7 linked regions of the Macaca mulatta genome follow. The protein of the gene in region 7 interacts with the protein of the main gene of each other region in a biochemical or structural test. Links are inferred from orthologs where the notes say so. Each region holds a gene or a part of one and is shown on either strand. Other genes may lie near its edges. The genes, in order: ABL2, BCAR1, DOCK1, MAP4K1, ARHGAP32, ERBB3 and CRK.

Region 1 (4,248 bases), on a different chromosome or scaffold from region 7:
TTTATAAGTACACTGGGATAGGTGAGCAATAGATGCTTTTCTACAAGACTTTAAGTTATTTACTAAGGCAGAAAACTATTTTAAAAACTCAGCCACTAGGCCAGGTGTGGTGGCTCATGCTTGTAATCCTAGCACTTTGGGAGGCCAAGGTGGGTGTATCTCCTGAGCTCAAGAGTGCAGGACCAGCCCGGGCAACATGGGGAAACCCTGTCTACAAAAAAAACAAAAAAACAAAAAAACAAAACAAAACAAAACAAAAACACTTAGCCGGGCATGGTGGCACATTCCTATAGTCCCAGCCACTCAGGAGGCTGAGGTGGGAGGATGGCTTGAGCCCAGGAGGCAGAGAGTGCAGCAAGCTAAGATTGCATCACTGCATTCCAGCCTGGGCGATGGAGCCAGACTGTCTCAAGAAGGGGAAAAAAAAAAAAGCCACTAGATGGTGAAAAAGGATCTTGGATACAGTGCTGGGCAAAATAAAGAGAGCTCTCTGGCCAGGCATGGTGGCCCACACCTATAATCCCAGCACTTCGGAAGGCTAAGATGGGAAGATCACTTGAGGCTGGTAGTTTGAGACTAGCCTGGTCAACATAGCAAGACCCCATCACTATTGTAATTTTTTTTTTTTCCAAAGAGAGTTCTCAGTTTTGAGAACAGCAAAGGCCCCTTATTAATACTTTAATCAGAGTACAGTACGTTTGTTTACAAGTTAGAAGTGACATTATAATGGGCCCTGTGAAATACGAAATTACTTTCTTGAATCATCCGAAATTTTCTGGGAAGGTTCTCACATTCTTCCTTTTATCTGCATGTCAAGCAGGATGGCTTCATGGTTAGTCAGAGGTAAGTTTTACACACCTATGGATGAAATTCTTCTTCTCTAAGTACTCCATTGCAGAAGAAATCTGAGTGGCCATGTAGAGAAGCACAACTGCAGTCACCTCTTCTCGGTTGCATTCTCGGAGGTAATCCAGCAAATTCCCATATGGCATGTATTCAGTCACAATGTAAAATGGTGGCTCCAAAGTACAGACACCTAAAAATTGAAGAATAGTGCTTGTTTTTGTTAATGTACATTCAAACACTTCAAACCACTTTCGTCAAGAATAATTTGACAATTTTTCAGGTCTAGTTCGGCAGTAATCTTTTCCCTTTTTACCACCACATTCTCTGAAATTAATAAGCAAAAATTAAGAAGCTGGTTTATATGGGAGTCCTTGCTTCCACTATATTGTTCTCTGGGAATTCATATGCCTCTGAGTATTTGTCTGTTTGAGCAAAAGCAGCGTGCTTGTATTAATTCTATAAGGGGCCAAGAAAACCAACATGTCCAGACTTTTGTACACTTTTGATTCTCCTCCTCAACTGCAGGCTAACAATACTTACTCAAAAGTAATAGCAATTGTGCACATGCTGAAGACTATGTGAGCCCCACCTGTAATACTGCTTTGTAAAATGATTTTCATCGTTTCCATAGTCAAGGAATTCACTGATATATGGCAGATTCCTTATAAAAAACCAACAAGAGGTCGGGTGCAGTGGTTCACGCCTGTAATCCTAGCACTTTGGGAGGCTGAGGCAGACAGATCGCTTGAGACCAGCAGTTCAAGACTTGACTGGCCAACATAGCAAAATCCTGTCTCTACTACAAAAATTAGCTGGGTGTGGTGATGCACGTTGAGGCACGAGAATAGCTTGAACCTGGGAGGCAGAGGTTGCAGTGAGCCAGGATCATGCCACTGCACTCCAGCCAGGGTGACAGAGCAAGACTATCAAAAAAAAAAAAAACCACAACAAAAAACACCCCCCATCCAAAAAAAAAAAAAAAAAATCTGGCCCTATTTTTAAAAAGTAAAAGAGCTTAGTAAAAGAGTTCTTTGTGACCTGAACAGTGAAAAGCCAATCTAACATAGTACAGCATTTCCTGCTTGTAAAGGTAAACTGATGGGTGTGGTCACAGTTTTTAATTTGCTTCAACAGTCCTTCAATGTCTCTTTATTTTGCAAAAACATTTCATGAGTTTTTGGTTCAGTACCATTTTGAACACTTCTGAACTTTGAATCTGGGGCAATTAGTACAAACTGAGCAGTTTTATATACTAAAATCAATCAGGCCACTGCTTCTTGGGCCATTTTAAAACATGGAACCTACTGATTAAAATAAGTACTTATGGAAGTGGATTTAAACCTGCAGCTTCCACCATGGTGACTGAAAAGAAAGCTTTGGGGCTGGGGGAGCGGGGGAAGGCTGGGCATGGTGGCTCATGCCTGTAATTCCAACATACTGAAAGGCCCACATGGGAAAATCACTTCAACAGCAGCCTGGACAACAGAGTGAGACCCTGTCTCTAAAAAAAAAAAAAAAAAAAAAGAGGGCATTTGGAGATAAGAAGGGGTTACAGGACAAGCATTTTTGGAGGATATCTATGGTTCAGGCAAGGTTCCTCACCTAAAAGTTGTACCAGATTAGGATGCTTGATTTCCTTCATTACTGCGGCTTCTTTTAGGAACTCTTCTACCTCCATGGTATCTTCCTGGAAAAAGGGAAAGGTAAGAAAGAAGAAAACGAGAGGGACAAACCCCCAACTTAAAATCATTTGATTCATCTCACAATCCTAAAGCTTCAGCTTTAACAGTAAAAAGAAGTATCTTTTGAATATTTTAGCATATTACAAGAAATAATTTTTATTTCAATTTATTTTTTTGAGACAGGGTCTCACTCTGTTACCCAGGTTGGGATGAAGTGGTACGATCTCACTGCAACCTCTGCCTCCTGGGTTCAAGCGATTCTCCTGGCTCAGCCTCCCAAGTAGCTGGGATTACAGGCATGCACCACCATGCCTGGCTACTTTCTGTATTTTTAGTAGAGACGGGGTTTTGCCATGTTGGCCAGGATGGTCTCCTGACCTCAGGTGATCGGCCCGCCTGGGCTTCCCAAATTGCTGGGACTACAGGCATAAGCCACCACACCCAGCCGAAATGATTATTATTTTAAGAAGTCCAACTTAGAAAGAAAAATGTCCTGGAGTAAAAATTAGCAGGAGAAGCAAAATTCAGCAATCATGTCCTATAATCAACTGAAACACAGGAGCCCTGTATTGGATACTTCAGTTCTCTCACAATTTATTTCTTCAGATATCTCAGGCTTTGAATGAGGAGACCTAGCACTTAGCTGCTTACATACTTATCTTCTTGATTAGATCATAATCTTCTTAGAGAGCAAGGCCTTATATATTGCTTTACACTCAGAATATGCTTAAGAAACAGAACTGACTACTACTTATTAGCTGAAGAATAGCCCTTATGAGTGATATACTAGAGACAGTTACTGAGGGTCTGGGACAATCAAGTGAGTGAAAACCTTATAATTTGATACTGGGAGGTTTAAAGGAGACATATAGTAGTACCAGGAAAAAGATTTCTGTGAATGTTAAGAAGTGCTCTAACTGCGAAGAGACAGGAGGAACAACAACAAGGGAGAGGAAGGACAGAACAAGAAAGAGGCCCATGATTCTCAGACAAGGCACAAAGAATTCTGTCCAGCAGGGGTCGATCTCAGGAAGCAAAAGAGCTTATTTTGCTTTTATAACTTTTAATTTGCTTCTAACCTCCCACTAAGATCTACATCAACAGCCTCCAGAGACAGACCTTTCCCACATGTGGGTTTCATTGCATTGCAGTGAATAATCTACCTCTGCATTGTCAGCAATGGCACTAGGGTTAATCATCACAATTTGCTGATGTGCTTGGCACCAGTGGGTGGAAAGTGTTCCAAAGTTAAAGAAGAGCATGCTCATATTTCCAAGTGATTGAGCACAAAAGAAAAAGATGCCTGAAAACTGTAATTCTCAGCAACCCACCTTCAATGTTTTCACAGCAACTGTAAGGCTGTATTTCTTCCAGACGCCAACGTAAACCTCTCCATACTGACCGCCCCCAAGTTTGTGCTTCATGGTAATATCCGTTCGTTCCATTTCCCATTTGTCGTGGATGGGGGACACACCATAGACCGTAGGCTTATTACACTTGGGTGCTGGGTAGTGTAATGTTGTCACCAGCCCATCAGCCACTGTGGAGTGATGGTGTACAAGCTCTGCCAAGGTGCTGAAGCGGCTCTCAGCAGTCACATATACCTGGTAAGAAAAGCAGAAAAGCTAAACAACTTGAAAAGAGATTAAGAATTGTTTTTTTAAAGCCCATATTTCACTGGCCTGAAGATAGGAGGCTATCTTTAAAAAAAAATTTTTTT
Region 2 (4,248 bases), on a different chromosome or scaffold from region 7:
AGCAGGGTGGCCTGTGATTAGCAGCGTCATTCCCCTAATGAGCGTTTTCCGCTGGTGGCTGCCTTGCTCTGTTTTTCTAACAGAAACATTTGGTCACTGTGGCTGCCTACTGCCACCCGACTCAGCTCCAAGAGTGGCAGGCAGCCGTTTGCCTGGGGAGGCTGGCCTGGGTCCAGCTGCGCCCCTGGGCCTCACCGCATGAGGTTGGGACGGCCACCAGCGGGGTGCTCTTGGAGGATGCTCACGCCTCCCTCCTGCTGGTGCTGGGTCCTGGCTGAGCCTTGGGGCTGGGTCCCCACCTGCCTTTGGGAGGCTGGGAGGCCTGGAGAAGCCTTAGGCCGTGCCTCAAGGCCCAGCCAACCTGCCACGTCCCTCCGCCCCGCCTGCACCACTGTTGGCAGGTCCCTGCGTCTAAAAATAGTTCTGGAGGAGACTCAAGTCTGGAGCGCGTGGAGGGAGATGAGTCTGGAGAGGCAGCCGCCAAATCCACTCCCAGACGCACTGGAGGGGGGTGGGGACACCCCGCGGAGGCCCCCAGCCTGTGGGGCTCTGCTACCAGGCGCGCTGGAGACCCACTGGGCCCAGCTCTGCTGCGCTGCGGGGGGCTCTGCCAGGCCTGGGGCTGCTGGGGGGTGCTGGGCGCCTCTGCCGCCCCCATGCCCTGCACCCCCTCACAGCACCCTCAGTGAGCAGGGCTGGCTGCCTGCCTGCATTGGGAGGGCCTCTCGGGGTTCAGGGGCACTGGGCCCGAGGGAGAGGCTGCTTTGGCGCTGCTGCCCTGGGGGATGTGCAGGGAGGCCCTGAGTCAACCCTGTCCCAGACATCCCCTTTGATGAGGGAACAAAAGGTCTTTCAGTGGAGAGAGCTGAACAGGGAGCCTGGTGGTGGAGGCGTGTGGGTGCAGTGTGCCAGGGGCTGGAGAATCCCACCAGGGAGGCCTTGTCCTCCCCAAGGCAGGGAGGCTTTTGGGGAATGAGGCTGCCTGGCATGGCCCCTACCCCCTTCAGGCCATTACTAGTGAGGGGCAGCGTGGTCCTGGGCAGGTGCTTGCGCTGCCTGCCTTGGCCGCCCCGGGCTCTGGACCAGGGTAAGAGAGCCTGGGGAGGGAGGGCTGGCCCTGGACCTGCCTCCCCCACTAAGCCTCATCCTTTCAGGTTGCTGGGGATCTAACCTGCTGCAGGCAGCTCCCCCGGGGCAGGCGCGGCAAGGCAGGGCAGCCTTGGTTCCAGCTGCTGTGGCCCCCAGCACACGCTCAACTTGCCCCTCTGCTCCTGTCCTCCAGAGTCTCCCCATGCTGTGCTGTGGGGCAGGGGGTGCTAGGCTCTGTCTGGTCCTGGGCTGGACGCAGTCCCCTGCTGGGCCAATCCTTCTGAGGAGGCTACAGCTCGGTGGTGTGGGCAGCAGGCTCCAAGGCCTCCGACGTGACCTCTCGTCCCGCGGGGCTGGGCGCCCCAGTCACGGGGGGTTCCTTGCCTGTGGGTAGTGCCCTCCAGAGCCAGGGCCCCAGCCCCTTACCCCACCGGTGTCCCCCACCGTCATCAGCTCACACCCATACTCATCTGTGGAGCCTTCCGGGTCAGCAGGCTGTAGAGATGGTGGTGTCCTGGCCCAGGACCAGGCAGCTCTGAATAAAACCCGGGGTTCTTGCTGTACCCAGCACTACGTTCCGCTGGAGGAAGGTCAGAGGGTGCAGAGTGGGTGAGAACTGGCGTCCTTGGGGAGCCCCGTCCCTTCCACCTGGTGTGCCCTGCCCACCTCCCAAAAGGACGTGGCTCCCAGGTGTGAGTGGAGCCTCCCTGAGGGCCGCTTCGAGGGCAGCAGTGAAGTCAGCTCTCTGCCCCCAGGTGGTGGTGCCCACCCGCGTGGGGCAGGGCTACGTGTATGAGGCCGCCCAGCCGGAGCAGGACGAGTACGACATCCCGCGACACCTGCTGGCCCCGGGGTCACAGGACATCTATGATGTGCCCCCGGTTCGGGGGCTGCTTCCCAGCCAGTATGGCCAGGAGGTAGGTGTGGGGTGCGCAGCAGCGGGAGGGCAGGGCGGCGAGTCTGTGCCTCTGCTTGACCCTGGGCAGGGAGCTGCATCTTCTCAGCCCTGGCCAGGCCTGGGGGCAGCGCCGCGGGGTTTCTGCCTTTCCCGTTCCCCCTGGCGCCATTAACCCTCCACTGTTTCTGCCCCCAGGTGTATGACACGCCCCCCATGGCTGTCAAGGGTCCCAATGGCCGAGACCCGTTGCTGGAGGTGTATGACGTGCCCCCCAGCGTGGAGAAGGGCCTGCCACTGTCCAGCCACCACGCGGTGAGCACATGCCAGGGCCAGGCTGAGACTGTGGGGTGTCTGGGTGTGTGCACTGGGGTGCTGACCAGTGTCTTCAGGGCTCGGGGTGGTGGGCAGGCAGAGACTGGCTCCAGACCCGGGTTCTGCTCCTCACTGGATCATTGATAGAAGAGGAAACCGAGCTCTCTTCTGAGCCTCAGCTGCTTCGTCTGCAGAGCCGCCTGTGGGAAGGCCTTCCCCATGAGCTCCTGAGAGGGTATCTGCAAGGTGACCACAGGGTATGTCCTGTCACCTGAGATACTTCCAAGAGTGAAGGGGGGACTAGTAATTATGTGGGAGCATCAGGGACAAACCAGGACTGTCCGGAGCAAACCAGAATTTGATCCCCTGATAATACCCGCAGAGCTCAGTCACACACGTGCTGCAGAGTGGAAAGTTCACACGTGGTGGTGGTACTGGGTGGTACAGTGGTGGTGGTGGTGATGAAATCATGATATGATGGTGGTGGCAGTGGCAGTATGAGAGCTAACCTTTCAGTGAGTCTGAAGTGACACAATTATGTGAATTAACACGTGTCATTCCTTGAGAGGAAGTTCTCCCACCTTCAGGTTCTAGAGCCGGCTCGTCCCAGAGCTGTCATGGATGGGAATCGTGAAGGATGTGTGTGCCGGGGCTGCGTGTGTGCCTGTGTGTGTGTACATGTGTGTGGCTGGGTGCTGCCCCCAGCCCCTGGGGTGGGCAGATGGACGGATGGACAGCCTTGACTGCCGCTTGTTCCCCCAGGTCTATGACGTTCCTCCATCGGTGAGCAAGGATGTGCCTGATGGCCCGCTGCTCCGTGAGGAGACCTACGATGTGCCCCCCGCCTTCGCTAAGGCCAAGCCCTTTGACCCGGCCCGCACCCCACTGGTCCTGGCTGTGCCCCCTCCAGACTCCCCGCCGGCCGAGGACGTGTATGACGTGCCGCCCCCGGCTCCTGACCTCTACGACGTGCCCCCTGGCTTGCGGCGGCCTGGCCCAGGCACCCTGTATGATGTGCCCCGTGAACGGGTGCTTCCTCCTGAGTTGGCTGATGGTGGCACGGTTGACAACGGTGTGTATGCGGTGCCTCCCCCAGCTGAACGTGAAGCCCCGGCGGATGGCAAGCGCCTTTCGGCCTCCAGCACCAGCAGCACACGTAGCAGCCAGTCCGCATCCTCCTTGGAGGTGGCGGGGCCGGGCCGGGAACCCCTGGAGCTGGAAGTTGCCGTGGAGGCCCTGGCACGGCTGCAGCAGGGTGTGAGCACCACCGTTGCCCACCTTCTGGACCTGGCAGGCAGCGCTGGTGGGACTGGGAGCTGGCGTAACCCCTCTGAGCCGCAGGAGCCGCTGGTGCAGGACCTGCAGGCTGCTGTGGCTGCCGTCCAGAGTGCCGTCCACGAGCTGTTGGAGTTTTCCCGCAGCGCCGTGGGCAATGCTGCCCACACATCTGACCGCACCCTGCATGCCAAGCTTAGCCGGCAACTACAGAAGATGGAGGACGTGCACCAGACGCTGGTGGCACACGGTCAGGCTTTTGACGCTGGCCGGGGAGGCCCTGGAGCCACCCCTGAGGACCTGGACCGGCTGGTGGCCTGCTCGAGGGCTGTGCCCGAGGACGCCAAGCAGCTGGCCTCCTTCCTGCACGGCAATGCCTCACTGCTCTTCAGACGGACCAAGGCCCCCGCTCCGGGGCCCGAGGGGGGTGGCACCCTGCACCCCAACCCCACTGACAAGACCAGCAGCATCCAGTCACGGCCCCTGCCCTCACCCCCTAAGTTCACCTCCCAGGACTCGCCGGATGGGCAGTACGAGAACAGCGAGGGGGGCTGGATGGAGGACTATGACTACGTCCACCTGCAGGTGGGTGCCGCCTGCCCAGCCCCGGCTCCTCTTTTGCCGCACGGGGCTCCCGTGCTTAGGGGGAGATTTGTTCCCAGCTGGGCCTGGTC
Region 3 (4,248 bases), on a different chromosome or scaffold from region 7:
CCCCTTTCAGCAAGAGGAAAATCAGGAGCAGAGGACAATCACTCACTGCCTTGCACAACCCTCGCCACAGGGCATGGAGCTCTCCTGCCTGGGACCCATCTCTGTGCCACAGGAAGGAAGCAGAGTGGGCTCCCCAGTTCTGCTGCCATCCTCACCCCCAGCACCTTCTCCCTGCCAAGATTTCTCCTCTCTGCTGGCTCTGAATCCAGTGGTGAAAAGCTGTCTACCACTTAGAGTAAGTTGAGTAGAGTCTTTCCAAAATGCAGACCTCTTAGGGCCACCCAGAACCTCAGAATGTGTCTTATTTGGATTTAGGGTCTTTGCAGATGTCATCAGCGAAGGATCTCAAGGTGAGATCATCCTGGATTTGCAGTGGACCCTGTATCCAATGACTGCCGTCCTTCTAAGAGGAGAGGACACAGAGAAGGAGGCCACGTGAAGACAGGGGCAGAGAGGGGAGTGATGTGGCCACAGCCAAGGAGGGCTAGGGACTGCTGGGAGCCACCAGAAGCTGGAGGGAAGCCTGGGACAGGCTCTCCCTTGGAGCCACCAGAGGGAACCAACTTGGTACCTCCTTGATTTCAGAGTTCTGGCCTCCAAAACCTTCAGAGAACAGATTTCTGCTGTTTGGAGCCACTAGTTTTGTGGCAACTTCTAGGGTAATTTAAACATTGGTCAAAACTAGAAAAATAAGCTGTGCCCCTTAGCTGTTGCCAACTGCCTGGAGGTGCTTCTCCAGTGCACAGTCCTAGACACAAGCAGGCCCACGGCCTCCTGCAGCTCTGTGTCCTGGGATAGGAAGTGGGGCAGTTCCATGTGCCTCACAGGTCCCCTCCACATGGACCTTGGGACAAACCCTGCACTTTCTGCCCCTCCAGTGCTGGAGACCTGGGCTCTGAGTTTTGGCCTGATTTGCGGAAGTCCAGACTCTACAGCCTGTTCCAAGGGACACTCCCAGGAAGCCAGGTGTTTATCTGAACTCTCACCCTCTGCTGCAAAGGGAGGCAGGAAGCGCTTCTAACCTCAGAGCCTTCAGCCAGGGGAAGTCACAGAGCTATAGCACGATACTTATGTGGGGACTGTTCTACTTACTTGACTGCATGCTGAAGCTGAGCTTGGCCCTTGGTGTAACCGGAGGAGGTGTTTGCTGGCAGGACGGTGATGAGGGGGACACTGAGAAGCGCCTTTCGCTTCCAATGACGTTGATCACCTGGCTCTTCGGTCTCTGGGGCCGCAGTGGACTTATCTACATTGAAAGGAGAGAAAGAGCACAGTTAGGGTCTGTTATGGGCCGAGCTGCATTTTCACCTAAATTCCTATGTTGAAGTCCTGACCCCCATTACCTTAGAATATGACCTTAACTGGAAATAGGGTCTTTGCAAATGATCAAGCTGAGGTGTGGCCTGTTAGTGGGCAGATTGTAAGACATGAACAGGAAAGGTAGACGGGGGAGGAAACTCTGGAAAATCTCATGCCCCAGAGACCCCCACGAAACACACATGCTAGGTGTGAGCAGAGGGGAGGGGAATACCTAGGCAGGAGGGAGCGCCCTGAAACACCCCATAAGACACCCAGTAATTGCTCCCTCTGCAGCTAACCTGTTACAATGTAGCTGGCTACATGCTGATCAGGAGGGAAACAGGGCAAGGGGTTAATTCCTAAGAGACACACTCGCACAGTATGTACAGATTTGACCGCAATACGACCTTCTTGGGGTGGTGGTAATGAGCAATGCTGCCATTAGGTAGGATTCCTATTGATCACTGAGCCCGAGTGTGCACATCAACTAGCAGCAAGGGAAAGTCCCACAAACCTGGGCGGGAACTAGGCAGGGAAAAGGTGGAGACTTAAGACAGCTGGGAAAATACACGAAGACAAAGGGAGAGGCTTAAGACAGAGGTGGGAGCTTAAATCAGTCCAGTATAAAAACCACAACACAGAACTCCCAGGGGCTGCTCTCCACAGGGTCAGCCTGCTCCTCTCCTGGAGTCTATGCTACTTTTATTTCCTTAATAAGCCTGCTTTACCTACTTTACTAATTTCCCTACTTTACTAATTGGTCTCTTGGCTGAATTCTGTCCTCTAAGACTAAGAATCAAGGACCTGCACACTTCCCAGTAACAGGTCCTAATCCAATAGGACATGTGACCTTATGAAAAAGGGAAGTTTGGACATGGACACGTGTTCCGTGGCAGAATTATTCCCAGGTGTGCTCAGCATGCTTTGGTCTCTTTGGTGTGTACCTGAAAGTCTAGGAACTGGCTGAAGGATTTTTGCTATTCCTTTCCTTTGCTGCTTCTCACATCCTAGGTCATTACCGGGCAGGGATTCTTTTTCTCTCCTTTTCAATGCATTTTTTCCTGCTCATCTCTGGCTTTTGGAGGCACTTGACTTTCCCCCACCGAAGCCCTTTCCCTGTTTGTTCCATCAGTAAGTTGTATGTATGTATTTCTTACAGGTTGCTCATCAGGCTTTGGGGAACAGGAGCAGTGACAGAATACTCTGAGGCAGGAGTAATTAGAAAACTTATTAACCCAGCCAAAAAGGAGGGGTCAAGGTTCTCCCCCAAGGAAGGGCAGGCAGGTGAGTGGGCAGCTCCGGCTTGGTGCTAGGTCTGGGGGCCTGGCGGATGGGCTGTGCTGGTTTGGGTGAGCAACAGAGCAGGTAGGCTTCAATGTCTGCCCCAGGAGGAGTCAGCCGAGCCAGGGCCAGTCTGGGGGTTACTGAGGCTGGAAGGAGGAAATGGGAACCAGGCTTGGGAGGAAGATTCAGGCCCTCTGGCAAATGAGTGACAGAGCCAGGCCAACAGGTCTATTTCCAGAACTATACTGTGCTGTCAGGGGAGCCAAGTGCCCAGGAGCTGCACCTCCTCTGAAGAAATGGCCTTGTTCCAGGCAGCAGAACTGCCGTGGGAAGTCGGGAAAGGCTGGGTGAAGTGCTGGGCCCTCTGAAGGCGAATGTGCTGGCAAGAGAGATTTGGGATCTGCTAAGGTGCTTCTCCTGGCTTCCCTGCATCCCAGGGCGGGCACATTCTGATTCAGAGAGCGTGAGGAGGCTGGCCTGCTGTGATGCAAATTGCAGCCTGGAGGCTCTGGCTGGAGAGGCTCAGCTAAAGGTCAGGAAATTGTTGATGATGCAAATCAAGTAGGAAACCAAACCCAGCCCCAGGGGTGAGGAGGGAAAACCTTGGCAGAAGCTGGGGTGCAGGGGAGGCCAGCATGGGGGAAGGGCAAGGAGGACACTACAGTAGGGGTAAGCGGGGGTGGGGGGTGGGGAGGGTGGCTGGTGTTGTCCCCAGGGAATGGGTTGCTACTTCTGCTCCTGTGAACCTCCTCCCCACCTCCCCTGCAGCATGGCTGGTCACAGGCACGCAGTCGCCTGCTGGGAAACTTCAGGTGTCTGACTGTCCTCACAGACCTTGCCGGCACCCGTCCCCTGGAGGAGGTGGCCTCTGTGTAGACAGACAGGTTGCTGGGCTGGACCAAGAATAGGAAGCCTGTCCCCAGTGGGAGGTTCAGATGCCCTGCCTCCTGGTGCTGGAAGGCTCAAGCTGACACTGGGCCAGATGCTGAGAAGTGCCACCAATGTTCTGTGCTCTGACCCTGCTGAGTTCCTGCGGATTTGCTGAGGGTGCTACGGACAACCGTGGGGAAGCAGCCCTTGTGGTGCTGCCCCTAGCCCTGCTGTTTGCAAGGATCCTAGAAGGATGCTTGGGCCACCACAGGCAGGGACAGAAAATGCACTGTGCTGGCTCTGTGCCTGTCACGTGTGTGCTTGTGTCTTTGGACTTTTCACACAAGTCAGCTGTGATCAATCCTGCCACTTGGCACAACTTCTCTGAGGCCTCCAATTTAGCATCTTAAAACGGAGCTTAAATTAAAATGTATGAAAGACTTGCATAGTGTCTGGCACTAAGTAATATTCAAAAATGCTTCTGTTCATTCCACTACCCAGCTACGATGTTTTGAGACTTGAGAAATCTACCTGGGGCTTGAGAGAAGGAGACTTCAGCCAACCTCTGGGGTGGTGGGCATCCCAACTTCCGAGAATAGCAGACAGAGCACGCTGTGTGGTCAGGACCCCCTCAATCTGCTGGAGGCTGAGCGTCTGGGTGCTTCGGGCCAGCCTCCAGCCAGTGCCCCCCGAGGCCTGACATCTCGGCCACCCTCACGGGAATTCTCCAGCCCCACTGCAGCCACAGGCCACAGAGCAGCGCTGGCCTGCTGGACGTCAAGTCATGGCTGGGGG
Region 4 (4,768 bases), on a different chromosome or scaffold from region 7:
GGGTTGGAAGGAATCAGAGATTTTCTGCCTTCCAGATTCAAGTGATGCTCCTGCCTCAGCCTCCCAAGTAGCTAGGATTACAGGCATCTGCCACCACGCCTGGCTAATTTTTTGTATTTTCAGTAGCGGCGGGGTTTCACCATGTTGGCCAAGCTGGTCTTGAACTCCTGACCTCAGGTGATCCACCTATCTCAGCCTCTCAAAGTGCGGGGATTACAGGCGTGAGCCACCGCACCAGGCCCAGCAGTTATATTTTTAAAAATAATTAAATTAAATTAAATTAAATTAAATTTTAAAAAGCCAGGCACGGTGGCTCAAGCCTGTAATCTCAGCACTTCAGCAGCTGAAGGCAAGAGGATCAGCTCAGCCCAGGAGTTTGAAATACGGCCCAGAAAGACAGTTCCTGTGAGATACACACACACAGACGAAGAGGTGAATTCGGGTCGGGGTTGGGGGGTGGGGGTGGGAGGGTTGCCTGGGTCCCCTTGTGCTTTCTCTAACCTTGGTAGATGTCCTGGAGAGAACCAGCCCCACAGAATTCCATGCAGATCCAGAGCTTCTGCAACCTGCAGTGTTTCAAGGGTAAGAATAATAATAGCAGTAATACATTATTATTTGCAGGAAAGTCCCTGGTTTGCTTCTGTCTTGTTCTAGATCAGTAAGAACTTTAATGTAACAGCTCTCATCACTCCATCTCTCCTTGTCTACCAGAGTGAGGTGGTTTCATTCCCGTTTCACAGACAAGGAAGTTAAGGCTCAGAGAGGAAATGTGAGTTCCGGGGCAAGTCAACTCAAACCTAGACCTTTGGGCGGGACCCCTCTGCCGTCCCACGCCAACCTAGGAGGTAGGGCAGAGATCTCACGGGTTGTGGAGATTTGGAGGGGACAGAGGGGCCCAGGGCATCTGTTCCGGGGAGCAGAGGTCAGTATTGGGACATCTGGAATATTAATTTGGGGATCAGGGAATTTAGAAGTTTATATTAAAGGAACAGAGAGTGGAACTGGGGGAGCCAGAGGGCAGAATGATGAGAGCTTCGTTTCTAGGGAGTTGATTTCCAATTCCGTTACTATGAAGGGATCAGTTTGGGGTACTCTTGATCAGAAATGGGAATTCTGGATTGGAGATTAGATTAGAGGCTGCTCTGGTCAGAAAAGTGGGACTTAGGAGTGAGGATCAGGGTAGGGTTAGCCCAGTCAAAAATGGGGGTCCAGGATGGGAGGCCGGGTTATGGTGAGAAATGGAAGTTCAAGGTTAGAACTCAGGGTGCCAAGGCCAGGCACGGTGGCTCACACCTGTAATCCCAGCACTTTGGGAGGCCAAGGCCAATGGATCACGAGGTCAGGAGTTCAAGACCAGCCTGGCCAAGATGGTGAAACCCCATCTCTACTAAAAATATAAAAATTAGCCGAGTGGGGTGGTGGACGCCTGTAATTCCAGCTACTCGGGGGTCTGAGGCAGAGAATTGCTTGAACACGGGAGGCAGAGGTTGCAGTGAGCCGAGATCATGCCACTGCGCTCCAGTCTGGCAACAGAACAAGACTCCATCTCAAAAAAAATGAAAAAAAATGAAAAAAAAAAAAAAAAAAAAAAGAAATGAGGGTACCCCCATCAAGAAATGGAGGCTCTGCGTTAGGGGCTGGGCTGGGTGCCAGGGTGGGTCTGAGGTTCATCACCAGAGATAACTCCCATGGTAGGCCACGATGTTGGCGTGCCGGCAAGTTTTCAATATGAGGATTTCCTTCTGAAGGGTGGAGACATCATCATCTGTGAGGAGGGTGGGAGAGAAAGGCAGCTCGCATGGAGAGAGCTACGAGGGAGGTGATCCCAGTGTCCCAGGAGGCGAAGGTGGGGATGTGGGGAAGGAGCTCCGGGTTCCCTCCTCACCAGGCTCCATCTTCACCATCTTCAGTGCCACCAGGTCCCCTGTCGCCTTGTCTCGAGCCTTGCAAAGGGGAAGTCGGCAGTCAGGCAGGCTCCATTTGCCAGCGTCCCTCCTCAGCATCCCTGAGTCAAGGTCAAGGACTGGGACCCCCTCTTGCAGCCTCCTCCCTACCGAGGCCTTGCCTTAAAGGCCACTAGTTTGAGGGTGTTGGGGACAGAGGGGCTTTCTCACCTTAAAGACTTCCCCATATGTGCCGCCACCCAGTCGCTGCAGCAGGTCGTAGTGGTCCCGGGGGTCTCTATTGAAAATGTCCGGATCCACGAGGTCCATCCCTGGGGGCCGGAGCTGGGCCTGCGCCCAGGGGCCAGCAGGGCCTCAGGGCTCAAGTTCTGGCACCTCCCTCTGTCCCCAGAAGCCCTGCACCCGCCTTGCCTCCGCGGGCTGTGGCCTCCCTCCTCCCCACTCTCGCTTCCTGCCCCAGCTGCACTGCAGGGCTGTGCAAAGGGCTCCACCCCCTGTCCCCTGGGCGCTGAGAGCCTCTGAGGGGCAGCTTGTCTTGGGACCCAAGGGACCATCCTCAACCTCCAAGGCCCAGGGCTGGATGTAAATGTGATGCAAATGATCTTAATGGTAACTGGATTGGAGGGGGGTGCCTTAGAACCCCCGCCCCCGTCTCCTAGGTAGTGTCTAAACCTCTACTGGGTGCTTGAAGGTTTGGCCACAACCCGAAGGCGGCAAGTCTGCACAAGGATGACTACGCAGTGTACATGCCTGTTCACCTGTCACATACATGCACTTGGGTTACCTCCTGTGCACTGCGCGGGCATGTAGACGTGTAGATGTGCATCTACCTAGATACCTGTGTGCACAGTACACACGTGGAGGTACCCAGCGCATATACCTCCACATACATGGCACATAACTGCATTTTCTACGCTTGCAGTGTACAAAACCTATACATGATATATAATTGATGGCAGTACAGATAGGACCCTCGCCCTCAGCTCCAAGACCGGAACCTAATGGAGACCGGGCGCGATCCGGCGAAGTCCAGGAGCCCTCACCCCAGCCCCTGCCCGGCAGAGCACAATAGCTTTGTGGGACCCTCTTCCTGGAGCTGGGGACCAAGGGCCGAGACTTGAAACTGGATCCTGGGCGCTCAGGATCCTGCACCATGCGCCCAGGCCTGAGGCGAGAGGGACCTCAGAGAACATCTCCCTCGGGACTTGGCCAATGCCTAAACGGAGGGCTGCTGCGTGCATTCCCGCACAGCTCCGGGGACTTATGGCCGCGCGCAATACAACGCGCGCGCACGCCGCCAGAGCTCCGACTGCTTCCCAATGAGTTCGCGCGCGCACGCTCCCGCGCCCCCGGCACTGGAACTGGGTCTGTGAGGCCCGGGAAAAGCTTAGCCCCGCCCCTCGCCGAGAGGCGCCTGCGCACTGGGATACAGTAAGCTTTTTCTCACGCTGTCCGTCCAGCTTGAGTGGAGCGAATGCGCACGCGCTAATTGCCCCTGCGAGGAAGAAGTCACGTGGCAGCCGGAAAGCGTGGCGGCTGCTGCGAGAGCCTGTCCCTTCACCGCCCCCAGGGAGCTGGAGCGACAACAATGACGTCGTTTCCGTTTCCACCACCTCTTCCTTTTCCCGTCCTCGCGGACGCCGTGCCGGGCCGGTATTAGTCTCCAGCCCTGGTTGTGGAAAGCGACAGAAGTCATGGCGATGTTTGAACAGATGAGAGCTAACGTGGGCAAGTTGCTCAAGGGTATCGACAGGTCTGAGCCCGGTCGGAGGGAGCGCTCTGGCCATGCGGGGCGGAGGGGAGGGTTTTCAGGAGGCAGCAGGGGGTGGTCAGGGTCCTGGGCTTGCCGCGGGGTGGGGTTTCTCTATCCTCCTGGAGGAGGAGATGCTTAAAGAAACGCCACTGAGCTGGGGGCGGTGACTCACGCCTGTGATCTCAGCACTTTGGGAGGCCGAGGCAGGCGGGTCGCCTGAGCCCAGGAGTTAGAGACCAGCCTGGGCAACAGTCATACCCCGTCTTTAAAAGAAAGAAAGAAACAGCCCTGCAAAGGCCTAGAAGCGAAAGAATCTTGGTACCGCTCAGTCTCTTCGTGAATTGCCTTAAGGTTTCCTTCTCTGCCCTGCCTCCTTTGAGTGCCTCTGAATCTCTCCCTTCTCTGCTCCTTACGTCATTCATTCACATGTTTATTGAAATAAAGTGTCAGTGCTAAGGCAATGCTGGGAACCACAGGCGAATCAGACAGCGGCAGATCATGCCTTCACGGTCTGAGTTCCCATTCCATGAGGGAGACAAACCTGACATCAGACAGTGATATCTGGGAGAGGTTAGAACCGAAATGGGGGAAGCAAAGGCTAGAGTGTTCAGACGGACATGGGGGAAGTAGGCATCCAGGTAGGCAGGAGAGGATGGGGCTGGATCAGGGTGGAGGCCTGAGCAGGGGAGGAAGGGGTGAGTAACAGAGATGTTCAGGAGGCCAGATGCACAAGCTGCAGTGACTGACTGGCTCAGAGGTTGGGGAGGTATCCTAGGCAAGACCCAGGGCTCCAATGGAGTATAGAGCTTAGGTGAGAGGTCTGGGATATGAATAAGTTTTATTAGAGATTATACTGGACATAATTCACTACCTGGATAGAGCAAGTGGCCAGTGCCAGATTTAGAGGGGAAGGGTGGGAGGAGCAGGTTACAGTTGCCCCTGCAACTGTAAAGTGACTGGCCTCAGCTTCTGTCTCCTGTCTGCTCACCTATCTTGATTCTCCTTTAGGTACAATCCTGAGAACCTGGCCACCCTGGAGCGCTATGTGGAGACGCAGGCCAAGGAAAATGCCTATGATCTGGAAGCCAACCTGGCTGTCCTGAAGCTGTAA
Region 5 (4,248 bases), on a different chromosome or scaffold from region 7:
TCCTGCACGGCCGGGGTCATGTTATCATACTGGGACATGACAGGCCCTTTCACCTTCTGCCGAGCACGGCTCTCTCTCCGGATGGACTGCATGCGGTATTTTTCCATGTCCTCAAGATCCCATGAGGTGTAGGTGTGCTTCACATCAGCCGCCGGAGGCATGTTGACTACATTATGGTCGTTGGGAGAGAAATAGCCAGTCACGTTGGCCCGGGGACGTGGAGGCAAACCAGCATAACTGTACAAGTTCTTTCCTTGCAGCCTAGGATTGTAGAAAGCAAAGTCTCGATTGGGAAGGCGGTGAAGGGGTCTCAACTGGACTGTGCCATAGGCATCCACATCACACAGGGCCCCATCTGGACTGTAATAGGAACTAGAAGAACTGGAATATGGGCTATACCTGTAGTGGACCCGGCCATTCTCAAAGTAAGGCTGCAGCTGAGTGACGTGATAATCGGAGCGGGCCTGGGAGGACTGATATGGCTTATATTGGTACAGGGGTCTTGGGCAGTAGGCTGGCTCATCATCTGGGGGAACTTCTGTCCGTGAAATGGGAACAGAGCGAATCATGGAAGACGGCGGAGCATGGAGAGACTGCACTCTCCGGATGGTAGGGTATGGTGGAATGTCTTCAGGGTAACAGGTATTCCTAACAGAGGAGCTCAAAGACGACACATACTCGATCCGGCTGCATGGCTTGGAATGGTGTCCAGATGCGTTTCTTCCTGGGGCCACATATGTGTTATAACGAAGACCCATGGAGGCTGGTGGCTCTGACCTGGCACCATACACTTGGTGCTGCTCCAATTTACTGTGATGTGGAGGTACACTCTGGGGACGGTACTGGCAGTTTGGAGTCATACTGAAATGCAAACAGTTTTCTGGACCAAAGGGTTCAGTGGTGACATCGGGCCTAGCAAAGGAGGAGTAAACTGTTTTCTGAGAAGCATGCTTAGGTTGTGGGACAGGAAGTGGTAAAGGCAATGCATCATCCACAGAGGCGGATGAAGCAGTGACAAAGGAATGATAATTTGAACTGCTGGTGGCATCTGCACTGCTGGAATGTATGGCAGCAGCCATCTTACTCTCCATCGTCCTGGTGGGGGGCAGTGGTGTAGGAAAGCCACAGGGATGTGCAGGGACAGACTCGGCACGCAGGTGCAGCAGCGGGGCCCGGGCACCATCCCGCACTTTCTCAGGCAGGCCTGGCTGGACAGCTGTAGCCATGGGACACTGAGCAGCAGCTGCACCACTGTCACTGATGAAGGCAGACGCAGGGTCATCCACGGCTCGAGGTTCAGGTGGCCTCTCTGGAACTGGAACTGCTCCTTGAACCTATTGAAAGACCATAATACTATGCATCTATTTTTTGTTCCGTCTATGAATCAAGTACTATTAAATTTGTAACTCACAAATTGAGGCTGGTTGGGTAGCAACTTGAACTTTCCCAAGCCATGTGGTTGCAATGAATCTGTACCCACTGATAGGAAAAGAAGGCTGGTGCTGCTATTTTGTATAAATATAGTATTCTCTCTGGAGAACCATTCAAAGTTTTCTAATTTATGAGAGGTTTTAAATGCGAGGCGAGGTGGCCTATGGCATGATTTTAATATACAAACCAAGAGAGGTTTAGTCAAGTAATACTGTAGAGCTTAAAAATACATACCCGGTCTCTTAGTCTAGCTCAGTCTCAACACCAAGGACATTTTGTTAAATTAAGAGTTAATTCTATCATCTGGAGAGACTTTTGAAATTCACAGTTGTACACACTGAGCAGCTTTAGGCCTTCAAAAATAGGGAAAGGCAATATTCAAATCAGAGGCTACTGCCTCTCCCCTACCTTTGATTCCACCTTAGTCTGGCCAAAGATAATCCTCATACTGAAAACATGCTATCCTTGAGAAGCAGTAAACACAGCATCCTCCACTAAGGTCTAAAATCTGAGGTCCTATTAATAGTTCAAGATGACTAAGAAAAACAACCTGTGGCCCTTCTTAAAATATGAGGAAATTCAGGAAGAAACCTTAGCATTCTGTATACTACATTCTCTCACTGAAGCAGGTGCCTGACTATGGGACAAACTGCTGGTGGATGCTAGGAAAGTAACAAAAATCCCAAGGTACTATAATCTCTTACACTTGCAAAAAGTCTGCAAGGCAGACAGTCCTACGGATGTTTTGAGAATGAAGTATTTTCATTGTGTAACTGTGAATAATTGGCAGAGGGTAGGTAAATGACTTGCCCAAAGTCACAATGAGTCAGCGATGGAGTTGGAATAAAAAAAAAAAAAAAAAAAAAACTCACAACCTTAAAGCCCACTTTGTCTTACTAAGTGTTACTAGGAATAAACTAGTGTTTTACTAGTTTATTGTGTTACTAGGAATAAACTACCAAGACACTTTAGAAGAAAAGGGAGCAGGTACAGTTAAGCTATAGTCATGGAGGAGCTACTCCCTTTTCTCGGGAAAAGCCAGCATCAAGGTAACGGCAGGCTCCAACCTCAAATGGGAATTATTTCATGGAAACCAGCCATAGGGCTTAAAAGCAATTGTTGTGTCTGACTCAAAGGTAACAACACACCCTGCTGAAAAGTGACATACCTTTGGTAATAGTATATTTCATCTCACTGATATCTTCCCCTTCTTACCTTGTGGGAATTATTTAATCCTATATTGGTTGCTGCTTGTACCTGCCCCACAACTGGTGGCTGCTCTGCAGATCTCTGGGAAGGTGGAGGGGGAAGGGGACGATTAGTTCTGTGTGTGCGCTGAAGGGTGGCAGCAGCAAAATCAGCAGTGGTGGGTTGTTCAGCCACATCCCAGCTGACTTCCTTGGTGCTCATTTGGGCTGTTGCTGGAGTAGTTGTCATGTACGTCATGGTGGCTGTGCTGGTATTCTCTTCGGGGGACCCAGAAGGATAGATTTTATCCCTAGGTAAATTAGGAGGTGTGGGTGATTTGTCTGCAAGGGACCCAGAAGGAAGGAAGATTTTATCCCTAGGTAAATTAGGAGGCGTGGGAGATTTGTCTGCAAATTCTAAAGGGTGATGGGGTTTATCCACACTTGCACCAAGATAAGAAGGAGGGTGATCTCCACTGTAGAAACGGGGTGGAGACTGGTCCTGATCCAAGAAGGAGACAGCTGGCATACTGTTCTTCCCAGACTGGTCTTCAGGGAAACTTATAAGATCATCCGACTTCTCTGAGTCTAAGGGAACTGAAGTAATTCTGGCCTTTTCTGGGTCCCCAGATAAATATGTTTGATGTGGCTGATTCCCTGTTAAGTCTACTTGGTGATATTGCTCCCCAGATTCAGTTGTGTTGGAATGGGTAGGATCCCCAACAGCTGTTGTCTCTGGTAGAGGATGGTCACAGTTTCCTGGTGCGTTATTCTGGAGGTGAAACTGCTCTGCTGGTCGATCGGTTTGAAAATAGGCCTTATCTAGAGCAACTGCAGAGTAAGAACTGGGCAGATTATCTTCAGTTGTAGCCACCGCTATATCTCCATAATTTGTATACCCAGCCTGAGAGGTCCCTGGTCTCTTCAATGACTGAGTTGAGGCTTGCTGTGCGGACTCAGCTAATGCTAGCGCCAACATTCGGGCAACATTTTTCGGAGGCGGTGGTGGTGGGATAAGAGAGACTGAACTGACAGGAACGGAATCCTGAGGGGGGTCATGGGTAACTGCTCCTAGTGGGAAATTGGGAAAAAAAATGAGAGTGAAAAGGTAGCTTACGTTATCCTAAATGGAAAGCCAAACACTCCCCATGTGATCACTAAAAAATAGGTGCCTTCCATATTTCAAAATGGCAATCCATGATCTTCTATCCCACATGCAAATGCTGTAGAAAACACATCTGGTGCAGAAGGAAAACTAAAACAAACCGTGTATAAAGACCGCAATCTCTTCTTGAATTGCTACAGAGATGGGGGGAAAAAGCAGATCCCTCACCTGGCTCAGAAAAGATTGCTTAGAAAACAAGCTTCAAGTGCTTGCAGACTGTTATTATGAACAGTTTTTACACTTGATGGTGTAGGCTGGCTTGTTAACTTGGAAGGCTACAATAAAGATATTTTATTAGAAGAGAAAACAGAATCAAGAGCTACGCAGTTGTGCAAAAATTATCCACGAATTCTCACTGTCCAAAGAGATAAGGGGGCTTTTGTGAAGATTTGAAGCAGGACCATTGGCCCTTTTGGGGAGTTTTGTTTGACTGCTTTTAATTTAGGGCTTTGAGCCATCAGCACC
Region 6 (4,248 bases), on a different chromosome or scaffold from region 7:
AGCCGAGATTACACCACTGCACTCCAGACTGGCAACAGAGCGAGACTCCGTCTCAAAAAAAAAAAAAATTTCTGTCTCCCTGTGACTTTTAGATGTTTTCACTCATTCTGCTCCTTGGAGCAGCAGAACAAAGGGACTTTCTAGTCTGTAGGACAGCACTTAAAATATATGTGTGTGTGTCTGTGTGTGTATGTGTGTGTGTGTCAGAAAAAGAGAGGGAAAAAAACACTATAACCACCTGTTTTTTTTTCCTTTAATTTTTTATTTTGACATAATTTTAGATCTACACTGAAGTTGCAAGAATGGTGTAAAATTCCCCATATACTTTTTTTTTTTTTTTAATTGAGACAGAGTCTCAACTCTGTCGCCCAGGCTGGAGTGCAGTGGTGCCATCTCGGCTCACTGCAAGCTCCGCCTCCCGGGTTCACGCCATTCTCCTGCCTCAGCCTACTGAGTAGCTGGGACTACAGGCGCCCACCTCCACGCCCGGCTAATTTTTTTGTATTTTTAGTAGAGACGGGGTTTCACCGTGTTAGCCAGGATGATCTTCATCTCCTGATCTCATGATCCGCCCGCCTCGGCCTCCCAAAGTGCTGGGATCACAGGCGTGAACCACCATGCCTGGCCTCTTTTTTTTTTTTTTTTTTTTAAGACAGAGTCTCACTCTCTTTCCCAGGCTGGAGTGCAGTGGTGCAGTCTTTGGGTCACTGCAACCTCTGCCTCCCGGTTTCAGGCAATTCTCCTGCCTCAGTCTTCCGAGTAGCTGGAATTATAGGCATGTGCCACCATGCCCGGCTAATTTTTGTATTTTTAGTAGAGACAGGGTTTCACCATGTAGGCCAGGCTGGTCTCGAACTCCTGACCTCAAGTGATCCACCCGCCCCTGCTTCCCAAAGTGCTGGGATTACAAGCGTGAGCCACCACGTCCGGCCCCCCATATACTGTTTTACCCAGATCCTCCAAATGTTAACATACCACATGTGGCTGGATGCAGTGGCTCATGCCTGTAATCCCAGCACTTTGGGAGGCCTAGGCAGGTGGATCACTAGGTGTGGATCACGAGGTCAAGAGATCGATCGAGACCATCCTGGCCAACATGGTGAAACCCCATATCTACTAAAAATACAAAAATTAACTGGGCGTGGTGGTGCACTCGTAGTCCCAGTTACTGAGGAGACTGAGGCAGGAGAATTGCTTGAACCCAGGAGTCGGAGGCTGCAGTGAGCCGAGATTGCTGCCACTGCACTCCAGCCTGGGCGATAGAGCAAGACTCTGTCTCGAAAAAAAAAAAAAGTCTTCCTTTCCTATTTATTTACTCTTATGGATACTTATTTTATTCTAGTCAATGGTTATGATCTTTTACAATCATCATTTATTTTAGCCAGCCCCTCCAAGCTGGCTCCTGTGTTCTTTGGGCTGTACCCTTAATTCTTTGAGTCTTTTCTTGTCTGCACAAGATGCTCTAGGCTCATATAGTTCCCCCATCCCAGCCATTTCTCCAAGGAATGTTTCCTTTTAGTGGAGAATGATATTTAGAAACCAAATTCTGAGGCTTGGTGTGCTCACTGCCACTGAATTATACCTTTACCTTATTGACTGGTTTCTACTGTTCTACTCAGAGACCCCTGGCACAAGATCCCTGCCCTGGACCCAGAGAAGCTCAATGTCTTCCGGACAGTACGGGAGATCACAGGTGAGTGGTAGAGAGTTTGGCCTTTCTAGAATAGACGAACCACTGGCATAAATTGCGGTATAACTACTTGAGAAAATCATGTCCCAAGTTACAGGGGAGGAGCTAGGAGAACCCAAGAAAGATGAAGTCTGCCTGCCCATATGCCTCTCTCCAACCCCTCAGGTTACCTGAACATCCAGTCCTGGCCACCCCACATGTACAACTTCAGTGTTTTTTCCAACTTGACAACCATTGGAGGCAGAAGCCTCTACAAGTGAGTAAAGACTATGGCAGAAGTGGCATCTTCAGGCATTCTTGAGTAAAATACAAGGCACCGTCTCATACAGCAGTACCTCAATACCAAAGGGTTTCAGAGTTTCATGAGGAAAAGGCAAAAGGAGGGGGATTCCCTCTCAGTGGATCTGACTAGCACTGAGCAAATTTCTTGACTAACATGATTCCATTGAATAGTTAATGTTCCCTTAGTAGTCTCTCCTCTCATCCTGTCTCCTTATTCTCAGCCGGGGCTTCTCATTGTTGATCATGAAGAACTTGAATGTCACATCTCTGGGCTTCCGATCCCTGAAGGAAATTAGTGCTGGGCGTATCTATATAAGTGCCAATAGGCAGCTCTGCTACCACCACTCTTTGAACTGGACCAAGGTGCTTCGGGGGCCTACAGAAGAGCGACTAGACATCAAGCATAATCGTCCGCGTAGAGACTGCGGTGAGGGAAAGGGTCTGCTGGGTGGTGAGAATAGGGAGTCAGGGAGGAGAGAGCTGAAAGGACTATTCTGCCCTAGACATGGGAGTAGGGTTGAGGGATGGAACCAAGGAGAAAGGGGCTGTTAGGCCGGAAGCAGTAACGAGGAAGAATAATGAAGAGAGGGCTTGCTGGGAGTCCTCAGACTCCTCTCCTAACCCACCCCTTCCTTTCCAGTGGCAGAGGGCAAAGTGTGTGACCCACTGTGCTCCTCTGGGGGATGCTGGGGCCCAGGCCCTGGTCAGTGCTTGTCCTGTCGAAACTACAGCCGAGGAGGTGTCTGTGTGACCCACTGCAACTTTCTGAATGGGTACAGTGAGGGGAGCCAGTCAAGGATGGGTGGGGTTGGGGCACTGCCATGGAACTGTTCAGGTGGCATATAATAAAAGCCTTTAGACAGCTTTCTGCATATGCCTTGGTGGGAGTGAGGTAGGAGACCAGGTCATGAAGGTCAGGACTTGGAAGTGACCCCTCTCCCTTTATTCCCCACTGCAGGGAGCCTCGAGAGTTTGCCCATGAGGCTGAATGCTTCTCCTGCCACCCGGAATGCCAACCCATGGAGGGCACTGCCACATGCAATGGCTCGGTATAGTAGCAGCACCAGGATCTCCAAGGGAGACACTCCAAGGGAGACAGAGAAGGGGCAATACTTGGAGCATCTGGGGAATGATATGGCTAAGGATAGTACAGAGAGGCCAGATAATGCTAGGGCCTGCAGATAGAAGATCCTGAATGTCTGGGTTGGTTTTTGCTGGGAGGTATGGAATTGACCTTGGGATCTGATTCTTCCTGACCTTCTCTCTTCCACTCAGGGCTCTGATACTTGTGCTCAATGTGCCCATTTTCGAGATGGGCCCCACTGTGTGAGCAGCTGCCCCCATGGAGTCCTAGGTGCCAAGGGCCCCATCTACAAGTACCCAGATGTTCAGAATGAATGTAGGCCCTGCCATGAGAACTGCACCCAGGGGTGAGTGATGGGATAATAAGGAGAGGGGGTCAGGTGGAAGGGTAGGAGCACAGAACTAGGGTGAGGGAAGCGGAAGCAGAAAGAAGAGAGGCTGTGATTTAAGAATCTCTCCCAGCTGGCCGAGTGCAGGAGCTCACACCTGTAATCCCAGCACTTTGGGAGGCCAAAGCAGGTGGATCACCTGAGATAGGGAGTTTGAGACCAGCCTGACCAATATGGAGAAACCCCGTCTCTACTAAAAATATAAAATTAGCTGGGCGTGGTGGCGCATGCCTGTAATTCCAGCTGCGTGGGAGGCTGAGGCAGGAGAATTGCTTGAACCCAAGAGGCGGAGGTTGCGGTGAGCCGAGATCACATCATTGCACTCTAGCCTGGGCAACAAGAGTGAAACTCCGTCTCAAAAAAAAAAAAAAAAAAAAAAAGAGAAAAAAAAAAGAATCACTCCCAGCTGTGTAGCGAAGGATTGGAGAAAGGGAAAATCAGTAACAACACAAAATTACACCACGGTTTTGGGAACATGGAATAACCTCAGTTCAAGAGGGTTTCACTGAAGAGGGGCTTGGGGAGAGCTAGTAAGCTGGGGGTGGAGGCCATGTCTTGGGATCAGCTTTGGGCTCCAGGATGGGATGCCATGGTAAGTTCTAAAACAAGCTTTTGTATGTTGAGGCTGTTGAAATTGAGCCTCTGTTGTCCAAGCTCTCATTTAAGGTAGTGACTTTCTTCCCTAGGTGTAAAGGACCAGAGCTTCAAGACTGTTTAGGACAAACACTGGTGCTGATTGGGTATGATGGGGTTGGAGATTCTGGAAACTGGGGATATTTGAGAGTTGGGAGAGAGGTGGTTACC
Region 7 (3,361 bases):
CCCATCAGTTAGGACTCTAGTTAACTGCTGTAGAAGGGTGACCTACTACGACCCTTTAGGGGAAGGCAGAGAGCTGGGAGACTGGCTGTCCACTTAGTGAATCCAACACTGGCTTAAAGCTATGCACTGAATAAAGTGCTCGGTACATTCTGCTTCTCACCTGGAATGAAAATACACACTTATCCTAGGAATTAACCTACTTACAGGTTTGGGGGACAAGAATGTCAAGGGCTAAAAGAATCCCAAGAAAAAGTATGAAGCATCGACTAGGAAGGAACAAATGCTTCTAGTAGTGTTCTTAGAATTCTTAGGATCTGAAATGTCAGAATGAGTCATATGCTGGTCATGCTCCATACAATGAAAGCAGTCCTGCTTGATACTATTCACACAGTGCATTACTTCCCGGGGGTGGAAGGGAACAGTCTGTCGCCATTTGATAGTATGGTTCCAGAATGAAAACAAAACCACTGAATAAATCAGGGTAAGCAGTGTGTAATACTCCTTCCTGTCCATCGGTTTTCCACAGGGTGATTTGCATTGCCTGAGAGAAAGGAGGCAAGATACCTATCCCTTCTGATACACACAGGCACGGCCACTACCTCCTACAATTGCCAATTTCAGAAGCTAACACACGAGCCCTCCAGTTCGTACCCTGAATATGGTACAGAAGACTAGGAATGGAGTAGTTCAGTCTAAAAAAAGATCACAGGTAACAGAATGCTTATATAAACTAGACTGCTTTTGACATCTGTAAGAAAACTGTATAGATGGCAGCTGGAAAAAAAAAAAAGATTGTTCCCATCTGTCAGCAAAACTGTTGAGCTATACTCAGCTGAAGTCCTCATCGGGATTCTGTTGATCCAGCAGACGGACATGTGTGAATGGGAAGTGACCTCGTTTGCCATTACACTCCCCTTCCCACTGACCACTCACATTAATCTTCGTAACCTTTACCAGCTCACCGACCTGCAGGAGGAGAATAAGGAGAGCACTTTATTTCCAGTTAGGAATGCAGCTGCACAACTCCGTTCTCTGGTCAGCACACCCTGCCCATGTGATTGCTCTAGGGATGTGACAGAAATGGCCCCTTGCTGCCTCCCCAGCCCCAGCCACCAGACTGATTCCTTGTGGTTAATGCAGGCAGAAGGAAGAAGTGTTTTTAGCAGTGCAGAAAAACAGAGAATACAGAAAGTAAAACAGGATCCCAGATAATGATACTTTTTGATTAAAAAAGGAAAGTGGTAACTATTGGAAATCTCAAGTGTCTCTGAACAAGCAATCCCCACTTCAGTGAGTGAGCTAGTATTCCCTTTCTTTGTACTCACTACCCTCGGCTTTCTACCTGCTCCGCAGACCCTGTCCGAGGAGAAGCAACCTTCTCCCTTCTTTTTTTGTGTTTTTTCTTTTTTTTGAGATGGAGTCTTGCTCTCTTGCCCAGGCTGGAGTGCAATGGCATGATCTCAGCTCAATGCAACCTCTGCCTCCCAGGTTCAAGCAATTCTCCTGCCTCAGCCTCCACAGTAGCTGGGACTACAGGTGCCCGCCACTATGCCCAGCTAATTTTTGTATTTTTAGTAGAGATGGAGTTTCACCATTTTGGCCAGGCTGGTTTTGAACTCCTGACCTCGTGATCCACCCGCCTTGGCCTTCCAAAGTGCTGGGATTACAGGCGTGAGCCACGGTGCCCGGCCACCTTCTCCCATCTTTAGCGTCCGGCAGCAGCACAGTCCCCCAGCCCACTCGCACACATGTCCTGGTCTATTACCGCTTGCACAGCAGAAACTGATCATGGCAAGCATAGGTCACTTGGTCCTAGAAAATCAAGTGTTCCCATCACCTCCTGACCAAGGCAAGCCTTTTCCCGTATGGGCAGGTAGAGGTCCAAACTCCAAATCCAATTAGCTCTCAGAAAACCCCCACCTCATTAAGCAAGCTCTACTTGACAAGCCACTGCCTGCCCAGCCCCCCAATCCCACCATTCGACAGACCTTGCTGCTCCCTCAATGCTGCTGATTACCTGATCATTACCCAATGAGGGGTCAAAAAAACCAACTATGGTTGGGCACAGTGGCTCATGCCTGCAATCCCAGCACTTGGTGAGCCTGACACAGGTGGATGGATTGCTTCAGCTCAGAGTTTGAGACCAGCCTGAGTAACATGGTGAAACCCATCTCTACAAAAAATACAAACATTAGCTGGGTGTGGTGGTGGCCGCTCACAGTCCCAGCTACTCCGGAGGCTGAGGTGGGAGGATTGCTTGAGCCCAGGAGGCAGAGGTTGCAGTGAGCTGAGATCACACCACTCCATTCCAGCCTGGGCAATAGAGCCAGACCCTGCCTCAAAAAACAAAAACAAAAAACCCCCCTGTATTTCAGCATGTATTTACGAAATGTCTCGTTGCAAAATGAAATATAAAGTTGTTTTTTTGTTTCTTTTTTGAGACAGAGTCTCGCTCTGTCACCCAGGCTGGAGTGCAGTGGCGGGATCTCAGCTCACTGCAAGCTCCGCCTCCTAGGTTCACGCCATTCTCCTGCCTCAGCCTCCCAAGCAGCTGGGACTACAGGTGCCCGCGACCACACCTGGATGCTATTTTTAAAATATTTTTAGTAAAGATGGGTTTCACCTTGTTAGCCAAGATGGTCTTGATCTCCTGACCTCGTGAGTCACCCACCTTGGCCTCCCAAAGTACTGGGATTACAGGCGTGAGCCACTGTACCCGGCCGAAATATAAAGTTTTAACAATCTATGATATATTTCTATCCTGCTATGAAACTTCAGAGGTCAGTCTGATGAATGGATTCACCCCATGGCAAAATGCTGAATGGTGAAATACAGCCTCAGATGCCATGCCACTGGACTAAAGAGTTTTATGACCATCCTTTAAGTATCAATATTTGAATTCTGGGCATACTCTGTTCATTTGGTTTTATTTTTTTTTAATTTTTTTTTATTTTTTGAGACGGAGTCTCTCGCTCTGTAGCCCAGGCTGGAGTGCAGTGGCCGGATCTCAGCTCACTGCAAGCTCCGCCTCCCGGGTTCACGCCATTCTCCGGCCTCAGCCTCCCGAGTAGCTGGGACTACAGGCGCCCGCCACCTCGCCCGGCTAGTTTTTTTTTTGTATTTCTTAGTAGAGACGGGGTTTCACCGTGTTAGCCAGGATGGTCTCGATCTCCTGACCTCGTGATCCGCCCATCTTGGCCTCCCAAAGTGCTGGGATTACAGGCTTGAGCCACCGCGCCCGGCTCATTTGGTTTTATTAAACCAACTACTATTTACTGAATTATTATATAGCAGAGGGCATTTTATATTTTATAACTTTATATTACATTAAAATATAAGGTATTTTCCAATCCTCATAATC

Evidence for each region.
Region 1: of the proteins of CRK (region 7) and ABL2, one has a biochemical effect on the other in vitro, tested with the Homo sapiens proteins (2 studies listed by BioGRID and IntAct, with this or other methods). The link is inferred for Macaca mulatta from reciprocal best matches to the Homo sapiens genes CRK and ABL2.
Region 2: the proteins of CRK (region 7) and BCAR1 form a complex in vitro, tested with the Homo sapiens proteins (2 studies listed by BioGRID, with this or other methods). The link is inferred for Macaca mulatta from reciprocal best matches to the Homo sapiens genes CRK and BCAR1.
Region 3: the proteins of CRK (region 7) and DOCK1 form a complex in vitro, tested with the Homo sapiens proteins (3 studies listed by BioGRID and IntAct, with this or other methods). The link is inferred for Macaca mulatta from reciprocal best matches to the Homo sapiens genes CRK and DOCK1.
Region 4: the proteins of CRK (region 7) and MAP4K1 form a complex in vitro, tested with the Homo sapiens proteins (2 studies listed by BioGRID). The link is inferred for Macaca mulatta from reciprocal best matches to the Homo sapiens genes CRK and MAP4K1.
Region 5: the proteins of CRK (region 7) and ARHGAP32 form a complex in vitro, tested with the Homo sapiens proteins (2 studies listed by BioGRID and IntAct, with this or other methods). The link is inferred for Macaca mulatta from reciprocal best matches to the Homo sapiens genes CRK and ARHGAP32.
Region 6: the proteins of CRK (region 7) and ERBB3 form a complex in vitro, tested with the Homo sapiens proteins (2 studies listed by BioGRID and IntAct, with this or other methods). The link is inferred for Macaca mulatta from reciprocal best matches to the Homo sapiens genes CRK and ERBB3.

Annotation. Positions count from the first base shown.
Region 1 is NC_133406.1:36,527,483-36,531,730, forward strand, and holds part of ABL2 (tyrosine-protein kinase ABL2), read right to left. Parts: intron 4,133-4,248; coding exon 3,860-4,132; intron 2,534-3,859; coding exon 2,449-2,533; intron 1,037-2,448; coding exon 859-1,036; intron 1-858. UniProt on the Homo sapiens protein: Non-receptor tyrosine-protein kinase that plays an ABL1-overlapping role in key processes linked to cell growth and survival such as cytoskeleton remodeling in response to extracellular stimuli, cell motility and adhesion and receptor endocytosis.
Region 2 is NC_133425.1:70,566,126-70,570,373, reverse strand, and holds part of BCAR1 (breast cancer anti-estrogen resistance protein 1), read left to right. Parts: intron 1-1,844; coding exon 1,845-2,006; intron 2,007-2,182; coding exon 2,183-2,299; intron 2,300-3,061; coding exon 3,062-4,159; exon of another isoform or gene 4,160-4,248. UniProt on the Homo sapiens protein: Docking protein which plays a central coordinating role for tyrosine kinase-based signaling related to cell adhesion. Implicated in induction of cell migration and cell branching. Involved in the BCAR3-mediated inhibition of TGFB signaling.
Region 3 is NC_133414.1:139,493,671-139,497,918, reverse strand, and holds part of DOCK1 (dedicator of cytokinesis protein 1), read right to left. Parts: intron 1,247-4,248; coding exon 1,093-1,246; intron 1-1,092. UniProt on the Homo sapiens protein: Involved in cytoskeletal rearrangements required for phagocytosis of apoptotic cells and cell motility. Along with DOCK1, mediates CRK/CRKL regulation of epithelial and endothelial cell spreading and migration on type IV collagen.
Region 4 is NC_133424.1:49,705,936-49,710,703, forward strand, and holds the start of MAP4K1 (mitogen-activated protein kinase kinase kinase kinase 1), read right to left. Parts: upstream 3,411-4,768; 5' UTR 2,214-3,410; coding exon 2,115-2,213; intron 1,944-2,114; coding exon 1,886-1,943; intron 1,766-1,885; coding exon 1,675-1,765; intron 567-1,674; coding exon 502-566; intron 1-501. Other genes in the region: EIF3K (eukaryotic translation initiation factor 3 subunit K), read left to right, coding at 3,599-3,657, 4,666-4,764. UniProt on the Homo sapiens protein: Serine/threonine-protein kinase, which plays a role in the response to environmental stress. Appears to act upstream of the JUN N-terminal pathway.
Region 5 is NC_133419.1:129,332,982-129,337,229, forward strand, and holds part of ARHGAP32 (rho GTPase-activating protein 32), read right to left. Parts: intron 3,690-4,248; coding exon 2,647-3,689; intron 1,335-2,646; coding exon 1-1,334. UniProt on the Homo sapiens protein: GTPase-activating protein (GAP) promoting GTP hydrolysis on RHOA, CDC42 and RAC1 small GTPases. May be involved in the differentiation of neuronal cells during the formation of neurite extensions.
Region 6 is NC_133416.1:63,241,474-63,245,721, forward strand, and holds part of ERBB3 (receptor tyrosine-protein kinase erbB-3), read left to right. Parts: intron 1-1,619; coding exon 1,620-1,693; intron 1,694-1,855; coding exon 1,856-1,946; intron 1,947-2,193; coding exon 2,194-2,399; intron 2,400-2,612; coding exon 2,613-2,745; intron 2,746-2,930; coding exon 2,931-3,021; intron 3,022-3,247; coding exon 3,248-3,402; intron 3,403-4,130; coding exon 4,131-4,184; intron 4,185-4,248. UniProt on the Homo sapiens protein: Tyrosine-protein kinase that plays an essential role as cell surface receptor for neuregulins.
Region 7 is NC_133421.1:2,970,178-2,973,538, forward strand, and holds part of CRK (adapter molecule crk), read right to left. Parts: intron 967-3,361; coding exon 829-966; 3' UTR 1-828. UniProt on the Homo sapiens protein: Involved in cell branching and adhesion mediated by BCAR1-CRK-RAPGEF1 signaling and activation of RAP1.